Schizosaccharomyces pombe: one gene and its partners. Changing the gene in region 2 together with the main gene of any one other region gives a genetic interaction. Each region holds a gene or a part of one and is shown on either strand. Other genes may lie near its edges.

Region 1 (3,163 bases), on a different chromosome or scaffold from region 2:
TTGATGTGAACGTTGAGCTGACAGGGAGATCCTTCAATTTTTTTGACATCGTATTGGTATATCGAATTAATGTTCTTTGCATACCAATGTTTGATTGTGCCCCAGTGTAAATTTGCTTACTTTATTGATTATAATAACAATAAAAGCAGCAATTCACTTACATTTGATCAATAACAGATCAAGTAGACTAGTACGTTGAAAATAGCTGGTAAAATACATGCTATGTGATCAATGAGCAAACTAATGAAAACATCATTTTAAAATGATAGCGAATGAACAGCAATTGTTATATTAATATGGAATGGCATTACTTTGTAGATCGTTGGATTTCGTAATTTGTTAATTAGCATTTTTAGGAATGCAGAATCATTATATATAGAGGAATATTTGTAACAATTTCAATGACTAAATAGTGGTAGATGAAATCTACAGAATTAAAAAGTCGGAACTGAGAAAATAAAACTAAGCTTACTTACTATACCATACTTGAAGTAGATGAATAAAAACCTGCAAGCACCCAGGCACTCAAACATTTCAGCTAGTGGTGGAAACTGCGTAGAACTAATTTCTCTATGATTGCTTGTCAATTACATTGGCAAATAACTTGCAGTGTTTTTCATATACCGACTCATCCGTTATCACATGACAAATTTTTTAAAGTAGATATACTATTGACAAATTAAATATCAACAGGAAACCAACGTACACTTAAATCTTTGTATTTATAGTTCTAAATATATAGAAAAAGATATTTAAGGAGCGTTGAAGGATCGGTTTGCATACCGAAACGAAGTTATTTAATTTCATTTCGTATTACGCATGAGTCAAGAAATCGTAACCAAAAGTGTTTTACTTACGAGTAACCTTCTCAAGAACTGTCTCATAAGCAACTTCGGAGAAATCAGTTGCTTGGATGTCAGTACCGATTCCAGTAAAAGCGCGACGTAAAGTATCTTTAGAAGAAGAGTAAACCATCTTAGATTTAATGGGAGCAACATCAGGAGACCAGCTAATAAAGATAATCTTGTTACGAACACCTTCTCCGAGATTGAACTCAAAATCATAGATAGCATAACGGCAATCCTTTTCAGGCAAGTCACCAAGGAAAGTATCGAAGTCCTTATCCGTACTCTTCTTTTCAACAACAATTTCAGCTAAACAAAAAAAAATTAGTGAAAGGTTCCACATAATTATAAAAACGACATAGAAAGACATTACAAACATAAAATATATATCAATGTAGATAAATAAATTTATTTTTAAAAAAAGGGATATTGGACTTTCTCAAATTCCATCTAAATCGTTTTCGTCACTTACTCTTGGTATCGTTCATTTTGAAAACTACGTAACGGAGTGACTTTCCAAGCTTGAGCTCTTGGAAAGCTTCCAAGCATTCGGGAGAGACTTTGACACCTGAAAAAGACTAATGTATGTTAAATAAACACGATGTAAAGTTAACAAAAATATTTCATACCATATTATTTATTTACTGATAGCGGGTAAGCTAGTGTGGTTGGCACTGGTTTGGTTAGGGGAGGGCTACTCGCATCAGTAGATACCGTCGCCCCAAGTAAGGGTGGCGCACTACTCTAAACAAGCAGAGTCTATAATTTCTTATTATTATGTTGCATGACCCTTATTAAATATAAGCGAAAAAACATACAGTTCTACAAAAAAATAATAGCAAATGGTTATGCGTATGCACTACCGCCTAAATATTCCACACTAATTTATATATCTAGCAAGTGAGTGAACTAATGCAAAAAAAAATTTAACTGTAAATGGATCGCTATGAAGAAACAAGATGATTGTTACTATTTATTAGCTATTCCTTACGCTATTTCCAAAAATCTTTATGCAAAAAGACTTGGAAGTTAATAATTTTTAAGTCTAGAAATAGATTGTATAAAAAACGGTCAGAGCTGCTTACTTTGTTCGTTCATAACTTAAGGAATGTTCCAGCTACTCAATCAAATTTGAGAACTTTCACAAAAATTAACTGAATTTTAAAGTAGAAAAACACTTCAAGTGGAATTTTGAATAGCCAATTTATTAAGTAAAGAAGGGACTAAAAAGACATTTCTAAAATATATAGGGAATAAATAAGTAAGGGCATATACGGCAATACTCATCGAAATCAGCCCCATACTTAGCTTTGCACTTTTTAATATCACGTGAAACACGATGCACAAGGACTACAAAGAAAAAGCATGGGTAAAAGTAAGGTAGAGGGGACTGAAAACCGGTGATCAATGCCCATGACAATGATTGAAAGAAATCAGCAGTATAATGAATTTTACGAGCGTACCTATACCAACCTGAAGTCAACAAAGTACCGCCATTTGCACAACGAATAAAGGTAGGGTTCTTGATGATAAGCCAGGGAAGTTGGGGAAATGTTTTGCGATGAACCTCAGTACCATAAATTTGATTACGGAAATGATTTTTTTGACCATTGCAAGTATCAAATATATAATAACAGCAAAGAAGCAAAACATAAATACCGGTTGTATATTGAGTTGACCAGTTGTAAACAGATGGATCATGCGAAAAAAGGTAAAGGGTGCAGTGTGAATAAGTAAATGGGACCCCAGCCATGTTCCAAAAGATAAGCATAAAACCAAACTTTTCATAAGCCATGTCCCAAGTTGGAACAATCAACTGCTCTCCCTTCGAGCACGCGTTTGCATACAAATAATGGCCAAGACAAACGAAAAGTACCTGAGGACTTACAGTGCCATAAGTTTCATATTGACGAACAGCAGCACCAACGGAAATAAAGAATAGGATAAACCAAGGGATACGAACTTCAAAGAACATTTTAAAATCAAGCAATTTGCCAAGGCGAGGATTCAAGCAAGCTCCCATAAAGGCATCGTAGATGGGATTTCCAGATAACCGATGAGGTTTATCAAAAAGTCGATCACCAAAAAGCAAAGTTCCAGTGTACAAAACAAAGGTACAGACAAAAGCGGTTATTATTGCAACGCTCATCAAAGGACCGAACATGTCGATAAATGTAGTAATTGGAAATACGTGGGTCACGTGAAGAACGGCAAGAATAACAATTGTCGTGTAAAAAGACCAGATAGCATTGCATAAGTAAGGAAGACGTTCGTTATTGCGATGCTTTAAAGGCAAACCTTGCGTCCGAACACCAGGA
Region 2 (4,789 bases):
AATAGTACAGGTGTACCCACTGGATTTGAAGTAAGAATGAACTTCAAATTCACTAAATGCTTACATGATAGACGGTACAGTTTCCTCAACTGCCTGTTTCATCAACGACGACAACTTCTTTGGCTTAATCATCTTCGAATTTAAACTTAGATAGCAGTAAAGGTAGCAATATGTATTTTAAAGTCCAATCGGCAATAACGATTTAACCTGTTTTGAATGGTGGTTATAAGTAGTTTGTAAGCTACGCAGTTTGGTATCTGATTTAAGGATACGTAGAACTGCGGTGAGTTTTCCTTGTGGTCTATTATATTACAATACACAGGTTGTATAAGTAGCAACTGAGTATAGGTATTGTATTAACTGGGTTATAATGTTACCTATCACTAATATAGCTCATAACTGAACTGAGGAACGAGGTTCAGTTGTAACGCTATTTATAATATTTCTAAATAGTTGTTATCAACGGGTATCTATGTATATAGAAGGATAGTTACCCGTGATTATCAATAAACGGATCTTAGCTAGTATTCCAACATATGACATATAGTGATACGCAACGTAGTGTAGCATAGCGTAGTGTAGTATTGCTGACATAGTTGGACAATATACGGTGGACGTAATGTGTATTATGTTAAGTAATCTGATAATAAATAATATTGTTATAAGATTCCGAATATTTTATTAAAGTAAAAAATGTTAATCGACATATATACATTTTTATTTCTTTTTATTGTGTTTGAAAATTAGGGCTTGGTAGACCAACGTTCTCCCAACGAATGCTTTATTTAGAAAGCTGATTTGCATATGCAGTCCGTACTATTTGGGCCTACAGAGACTTACCATTAGTTACATATACAAATGATCTTCCCTTCATTATGAAATTAAAAAGCTAACTATTTTCTACAGTTTGAGAAAAAATGACTACGTTTCGTCGTGCAGCTTCAGAATTCCTCAAACATTAATTAGGATAAGGATTACCCAATACTAAAGGGACAAAAACGGGTTAAGATGTATCATAAAACAACACAAAGTTATCTATAATATGACATACCACTAATAACATAGCGAGTCAAAAGCGACGTACTCACTTCCGAAGTTGTTCGCAATATAAGTAATTAAATTGGGAAAAACACATGTGTTAAATCGTTTCGTTAAAAGCTATAGTTAAGTCGAAACAAATTATACGGCCATTAAACTGCCAATAAAATGAAGGACCAACCGAGGACGAACGGCCACAATATCTTCTGGCAAAATAAAGATTACGGCACCCAACTTTCTGGCGATAGAAATAGCAAGACGAGCTAAACGATGTGTTAGTAATGAAAATTAAAAATATATCAAATATATATACATACCATTTTGAATAGCAAGTTCTTCAGTAGAACCATCGGTAACAAGATTGTAATCAACATATTCGCTCTTAATTCCATGAAGTACGTCTAAGACGAACACACCAGTGGAAATAGAAGGATCACGGAATGAACGAATTTGAGAACCTTTACCACCTTTAGCAGCCATAGAATTGGCCCACGCAACCATGTCACTATCTGAAAGAGTTTTACCTCCACGGCTAAGACTATGTAGAGTTTTGGTAATGTTCATACGCATCATTTGCCAAACCAATGCTAAGGTGAGTGTACGAGAACCGTCAGTAATATCAGCACCTTGTATTCCTACCAAAGAAAAACCTTGATTTTTTCCAAGGTCCACTGCATAATTACAGTTTTCAACAGCTTTGAAACGCATCATTTCATCTCCAGATGCAGGTGCCTTGTTCACCTTTTTCCAGTTAACGGTATTAGGTGTGATTTTATCGTAAGCTTGCAACAAAATCAAGCCATCTCGTAAATTATTGAAGAAGTCATGAATGGATGGAGTAACATCAAGAGAGTTCAACCACAAGGTAAAAACACGTGCCTCACGCTCACCTTCTGCATCAAATGGTTCAATCTCCGGCTTTTCCTCTTCATTTAAAGGCTCCAAACCTGGATGAGTATTAAAGAGATGAGCAACAAAGGCAAGGTTAAGCTTAGGGTTCCCTGCAACCATAGCGGTAGGTGTAAGATATTTGCGGCAATCCAATTTTTCAGCATTCTGTAAAACCTGTTCAGCACGCTGCAAAACATCTGTAGTTTGAAGAGGAGCACGTGAACAGAGTTCGGGAGCTAATTGGTTGAGCAGCACAGTATAATTCTCGCCATCTGAAACATCTTTTGAGAAGTTAGAGACAGTACGCGGCCAATTGGCAGCCTTTAAGTGATAATTGAACCAGCGGAGAAGAATTTTCTCAGGAGGGAGACGGAGAAATTGGTCAAGGGTTTCATCCTCTTCGAGAAGGCGGTAAAGCTCGGGATGTAAAGTAATATCAATCTTTCCAAGGAGACCGCGGCGAATGATTTGCCAAACAAGACCAAGAATCAAATGTTCACGACCTTCTAAAATATCGCCGGCACCAATGTTGGTAATGGAGATACCACCCATAGCTTTTGCGGAGTTAATAACAACATTGTTATTTTCAATACATTTGAAATTATCAAGAGGCTTGTTATTTCTCTGTTTATTGAGTACACGCTCATCAATGGTGTCGGGAACGCTGTCATTAATTAACTTTGAGAGGATTAAACCATCTTTGCATTGATCGAAAAACTCAAAGGTTTCAGTGTTGATGGGGACTCGGGAACCAACATCAGGGTCTCCAGCTAAGACGGAATTAATATGCTTGATAAATTCTCTTCGCTCTTCCTCATTAATGGTATGAGAAACACTTGAGGAAGATCCTTTGATAGTAATCCGACCCTTTTTTACTTCAGTACCTTCTACACCTTTTTTTAAAACATTGAAAATCTATATGCATTAGTAATCCAATTGATGAAGCGATATAGAGACACATATCGTGAAAATTACGGAAAACATTACTTACTCCTACAAAGTCTTCGGGTTCAACACGTCCAGACGAATCAACGTTAACTTCACGAATTGCTTCACGGACCTCATCGTAAGAACCCTTCTTTGAATCTTCAAAGGCTTTAATAGTGGTAGGTTGATCTAAATATCCCTTTCCATCCACATCAAGTTTGTTAAATTGGTCGGTTAAGGTTAGAATTTCCTCATTAGTGAGCTCCGGATACTTCTTTTGAAGTTTAAGAGCTAACATTTCTTTAAAAGTAAAATTTGACCAAAAAATGTATAGTAAACGAAACCACACGATGTGTGCTTTGGGTGGCTTGCAGTTGCTACGTGACAAGGATTAACGTCGTGTTGTTGATGCACATACATCATACTTACAGAAGCGTAGAGCAAAACTTTGATCCGCTCGCTAAATGAGTTAATACACGTTTGCTTAGCCAATCTGTTAAAAGTTAATTTGCAATTGTAAAAAGTAATTTACTACTTGACGATGTCTTGCGTTGTAGCTTTAGATTGAATATATAGCTGGGATATCAACTACATTGAATTTTAATTTTTTTTACAGAATAAAAAGCTAAACGTAAGTCCATATCAAATTAGCGATATTACCGAATTCAAATGCCATAAACATCACAAACTAGCAAGCTCTTTCAATTGAAGTCAACTGATGCATCGACTTGAAAATTACTTAGTACTATATGTCAAGAAGCCAAAATTTCTACTTACTATGATAGTAGATCCTTTGTAAAACGTTGCAGAAAGTTTTTCCGGCCGTGAAAATTCGTGTTTTTTTTCTTTTGTTCAAGGGTTTAGGTCACTGAAGCCAACAATTTTTGATACAATATAAGAAAAAGAAGTAATTCCCGCTTTTAACTGCGCAATAGGATAAAAGATTAGCCAGATGTCACAGGGTTAAACTTTTAACCTGACTACCTTTTCACGTGTATTTCCAGTCTCGTTTATAAGCTGCAATATAAATATTGTATGATATTACTGCGTGCACCAAGATTCTCTTATATTATTTTCTTATAATCTACAAAACTCACAATACTACTATAACGATGCTTCAGAAGATTAGCTGTTCCGGTATTGTTGAAGCATGGTGAATTTCCTTTGCGGCTGCTGTTGTAAAATATTGTCTGACAACTATCCAAATAAAACCTATGGGATTTTTGCAAAAGGCAAACACTATTTTCATAGAGGCACCGCGTTGCAGGGATTTTCAGCAGAGATGATTCAATATTGCAATCAAACACAGTAGATATAAACATAACTTGAAAAGCTAATGAAATACATAAAACATAATTATATTAACCATAATATTCTTAACTTATTGGTTTCTTCAACACTTCCAACTTCAATGAAGCAACAAGTTAGAGGTTTAACTTCTCCACAACGCCAAAATTGCGACTTAGATGATAAAAATATTAAAGTCTAGATAGAGCTCAGAAACATCAAAAAAAACTATGGAATATGATGAGGAAGAAGTAAAAGTTTTGAAAGAAGTTTTAAGCGCGTTCTTTTTGTACAGGCAATATGCTCATACAATAACACAACAGAAGAGAAAATCGATGAGCAGGTTGTCTTTTGAACACAAGGACTTACTCTTACAGGACTCTGACAACAATTTTTTAAAGCATCTTTCAAGGATTGATCAATGTATCGAGCAGAACAGCGTGCTTGCTGAAGCAATCGCTAACGCAGCCATTCCTGTGTTCTGCAGTGATTTCGATCAAAATGAGTTATTTCATGTCAATGTTGATATGATGCAAAAAGTTTCAAGCACTCTCAAGCAAATTGCGAGAGATTGGTCGACCGAATGTGTTGAGGAACGCCGTACTACATATGCTCCTTTCATCGAGGAACTAAATTCACTTTTCCC
Region 3 (3,495 bases), on a different chromosome or scaffold from region 2:
ATTATCTTTATGCTTTTCAAAAAATGAGCTCAAAAAGCACTCTAATCTTACTAAGGAAGAATTGCTCTTAAGGTGTCTAACATTGACTACAAGTTGCAGACAGATTAAACGATCTTCTGTTGTAAGCCTTTGTAATTCAGTTTTTGATGGAAAAAAGCTAACAATTGCTAAATGTCTACTCACTTCCTCTTCTATAAAGGACGACACTAAATTACAACTCCAAATTTCCAGACAACCATTTAGTAAAGCTGAATTGAAAAAAAAAACTATAACCATAAATCCTGATCGTTATGTTTTATGGGATCACAGGTTTTGGATAAAGTACAGTTGCAAAAATACACAGACTACACTTATACTTAGACCGTTGCTTTCCAAAGATCTAAATTCATTGAAGGGATTTTTGAGTAAGGAAGAGTTTCTTAAATTTTGTATACAAGTTCCGGGCCATATCAGGTTTACTATTCCAGTCTTGTCGGAAGAAAACGATAAGTTAGTTGGAATACCTACTTTTGGGTTTAATTTTAGAAGTGATATTATCTCAAACTGTCTACACAAGTTCAAGCTTTAATTGCTGCTTGAACCATGAAATCAATGTTAATTAGAGATACAAGATTTGTGATTTAATAATGCCTCATTATTTATTTATATTATCACAAAGTCAGAGGTGAAAGTCAGATGCTCAGAGCATATTCTGGTGATAAATAGCACGACTGATGCTTACACACAAAAAGTAATACGCCCTTAAATTACTGGTGACGAGCGGTAAAAAAATGATGAAGAACTTGTATTATTGATCGTAAAAAAATAATTTCCTAAAACTTATAAGAGTTTAAGAAAAGAGCGTGTGAGTTGCTCTTGTAAAGTTTTAGAAAGTAAACGACTAGTAATTATTAGTCGTATATCGAGCGACAATGTATATGTATTTAGGAAGAAGGAAAAGGAAACAGCTTGAATCACCGTCTTAAAAAATATCGTCGCAAAAAAATTTCCAAAATTTATAAACACATATAAGTGTTTCAAGTATTTCTCATACGGATGCCACTAACGTTTTCCCAATTAATTTTCTGGCGAGTGACTGGAAGTTGACGACGCAATTCTTTAAACTTTTTGTCATTAAGTGAAGAAAGTTCAACGTTGAAGGACTGTTGAATTCCATTTTCGACTTGAGCCAACACTTCATAAAGCTTACTGGTCTCCTCGACTGTAGCAGAAATAGGACGGGATGCATCCAACCAAACATTTCCGTCTTCATAGTAATGAACACGAATATGCGACCTGCCTTCCAGTTTCTTTTCCGAAACGTTGTAATTGCATATACAGCGCCACGAACCGTTCCAATAGTTCTTGGGATTATACTTTGAAGAAACCAAAACAATTGTAAACGATTCCACTTCATCGCTTTTTTTGATGATTCCAAATGTTACATCAGATAGATAGTGATCCGAAGCAACCTTTTTAATTTGCTTTACTATTTCATCGGGAATTTTTATGGCTTCGGTATAATCTTCAACGTTTTCAGCTTCCTATGAATACTGTTAGCTATTTAACAATTATCACAAAAAAAAGATTTGAAAAATTTAACCTTACCATAGTTTCATAATTAATGGTAAATGATTTCTGTAAAACTTGATCATAATAGCGATTGCCCTCTAGACGATTATCAGCTGAAATAATTACTTTTTCGTCATCCGATATGCTGACAGAAGAGTTGTAGTCTTCATGATAAAGCTTCAGTTGTTCGTGAATTGCTTCCTCATCACTTAGACCGATGTCGCGTATATCTATTATATGCATTAGAATGTTGAGGTATTCAGCACTTTAACAAACCATGAACTACTTGATTAACTTCTCCTGGAGGAGATTCTCTAATGAGTTTGTAAATTGCCTCCTTTTCCATCTTTCGAAATTTCTATAATGTGGTGCGGACAATGGTGAATGGTAAGAAACGAATACGGATGGTGAAGACAATGCCGCAAAACTATCACCAAAGAGTTGTATAGTCTACCAAATCTTCCAAAAAAAGGAGCTATAACCTAATTTTTTTTTCTTTTTATTCATATATAAGTAAATATAGCCTCGGAGGTCGTCTGGTTAATCGCTTAGTTGTTCATTTGAAAATATCAACAATGTTAAGGAAGACAAACTTATCTAATATCACGACGCTTCTAAGAAGTGCAAGATGTATGAATAGAATGCCTCAACTTCGCTTCGAGCATACCAAAGGTGATTTAAAAAGGGTGAATCGCTCTTACGAGACTAGAGACGCAATGTTGGCAAGACTTAAATATCAATCTAGAAAACGGGGAATATTGGAAACGGATTTGCTTTTATCTAATTTCGCCAAAGATCAGATTGATAAATATCCAGTATCTCTTCTGCGAGAGTATGATCAATTATTAGATGAGCCCGATTGGGATATGTAAGTAAATGAACTTGATATACTTAATGTGCGCTATTTTAACGTCCAATTTTTAGTCTATACTGGTGTTCAGGAGAAAGGGAAGCACCTGAAAAGTGGAAATCGAGTCAAGTCTTCAAGGAATTGAGCAAATACTGTCGAAGTCAGAGGAATCATACACTTCGAATGCCAGAACTATTTTGAAAACGTTTCTTGTTTCTCTAAACTAATGTTTATTTTTGACGTTGACTTTTCAATAAAATATTAAAAAAAAATTCGTGTAATGATTAAAATTTAACAGTATATATAGATTTTTTTCCCTTCAATCTTACTTCTAAGAAACTTAGTCCAAAAATAATGTCTTTTATTCTACGATAGTCAGATGTAGTCCTAATTCTTAGTCAATAGGTAACACAATCTCTACTTTTTCAAAGCTTCAATTTCTTCAATTTCTTTTGGAGCAGCACTAGTTAATACGAACGGCTTGTCATCACCAACGATTACGCTATCTTCAATTCGAATAGCTATTCCTTGAGCCCATTGAGGCCATCCGTCTTCTTCTGGAACATATAGTCCGGGTTCTATGGTAATCTAAACCCCGTTTAGCAAATAATCTGAAAAGAACTTCAACTTACAACTTGGTTTTTGCGCAACGGTTGGTAACCATTATTCGTAGAACAATCGTGAATCTCTAGTCCAATCTCATGCCCAATTGAATGCGGATACAATATATCTGTAATCTCCTATAGCCAAGGAAGTTAGTACGAATATTTTGCGAAGTAGCAAACTTACCCGTTTAGTTCCATGAATGCCGACCTGCTTCAATTCTTCATGCATTAATTTAACACTTTCAAAGTGAATATCAGCCAAGCTCCAGCCATTACTGGTGCAACAATACTTAATACATTTCTTTTGCACATTCAGAACTGCTTGATATAAATCCCTTTGTACAGTACTAAATTTGCCGTTGATGGGCCAAGTCCTCGAGATATCTGTTACATAACCACCGAATTCCTGTTAAGCAAGTGTTAATTGACAAAAAATTGAAGGCACTTACACCGCCAGCGTCTACCAAAACCATTTCGTCAGGACGGAAT

The links.
Region 1: of fim1 (region 2) and adf1, changing one enhances a phenotype caused by changing the other (phenotypic enhancement), as found in Schizosaccharomyces pombe (one study listed by BioGRID).
Region 3: mutations in fim1 (region 2) and acp1 impair growth when combined (synthetic growth defect), as found in Schizosaccharomyces pombe (2 studies listed by BioGRID).

The regions. Positions count from the first base shown.
Region 1 is NC_003424.3:4,824,601-4,827,763, forward strand, and holds adf1 (cofilin), read right to left. Parts: upstream 1,527-3,163; 5' UTR 1,478-1,526; coding exon 1,475-1,477; intron 1,424-1,474; coding exon 1,318-1,423; intron 1,155-1,317; coding exon 850-1,154; 3' UTR 657-849; downstream 1-656. Other genes in the region: fmp40 (adenylyltransferase), read right to left, coding at 1-49; C-24(28) sterol reductase Erg4, read right to left, coding at 2,083-3,163. UniProt on the Schizosaccharomyces pombe protein: Controls reversibly actin polymerization and depolymerization in a pH-sensitive manner. It has the ability to bind G- and F-actin in a 1:1 ratio of cofilin to actin. Binding to F-actin is regulated by tropomyosin.
Region 2 is NC_003423.3:3,105,588-3,110,376, forward strand, and holds fim1 (fimbrin), read right to left. Parts: upstream 3,222-4,789; 5' UTR 3,155-3,221; coding exon 2,921-3,154; intron 2,845-2,920; coding exon 1,356-2,844; intron 1,302-1,355; coding exon 1,180-1,301; 3' UTR 655-1,179; downstream 1-654. Other genes in the region: guanyl-nucleotide exchange factor Lam2, read right to left, coding at 65-132; SPOM_SPBC1778.07 (carnosine N-methyltransferase), read left to right, coding at 4,374-4,789. UniProt on the Schizosaccharomyces pombe protein: Binds to actin, and functionally associates with actin structures involved in the development and maintenance of cell polarity. Plays a role in cytokinesis. Plays important roles in mating and in spore formation.
Region 3 is NC_003424.3:4,583,657-4,587,151, reverse strand, and holds acp1 (F-actin-capping protein alpha subunit), read right to left. Parts: upstream 1,938-3,495; 5' UTR 1,898-1,937; coding exon 1,828-1,897; intron 1,782-1,827; coding exon 1,588-1,781; intron 1,524-1,587; coding exon 1,017-1,523; 3' UTR 616-1,016; downstream 1-615. Other genes in the region: til1 (tRNA(Ile)-lysidine synthetase family protein), read left to right, coding at 1-568; succinate dehydrogenase subunit Emi5, read left to right, coding at 2,127-2,419, 2,476-2,602; peptidase Icp55, read right to left, coding at 2,819-2,989, 3,034-3,141, 3,191-3,412, 3,456-3,495. UniProt on the Schizosaccharomyces pombe protein: F-actin-capping proteins bind in a Ca(2+)-independent manner to the fast growing ends of actin filaments (barbed end) thereby blocking the exchange of subunits at these ends.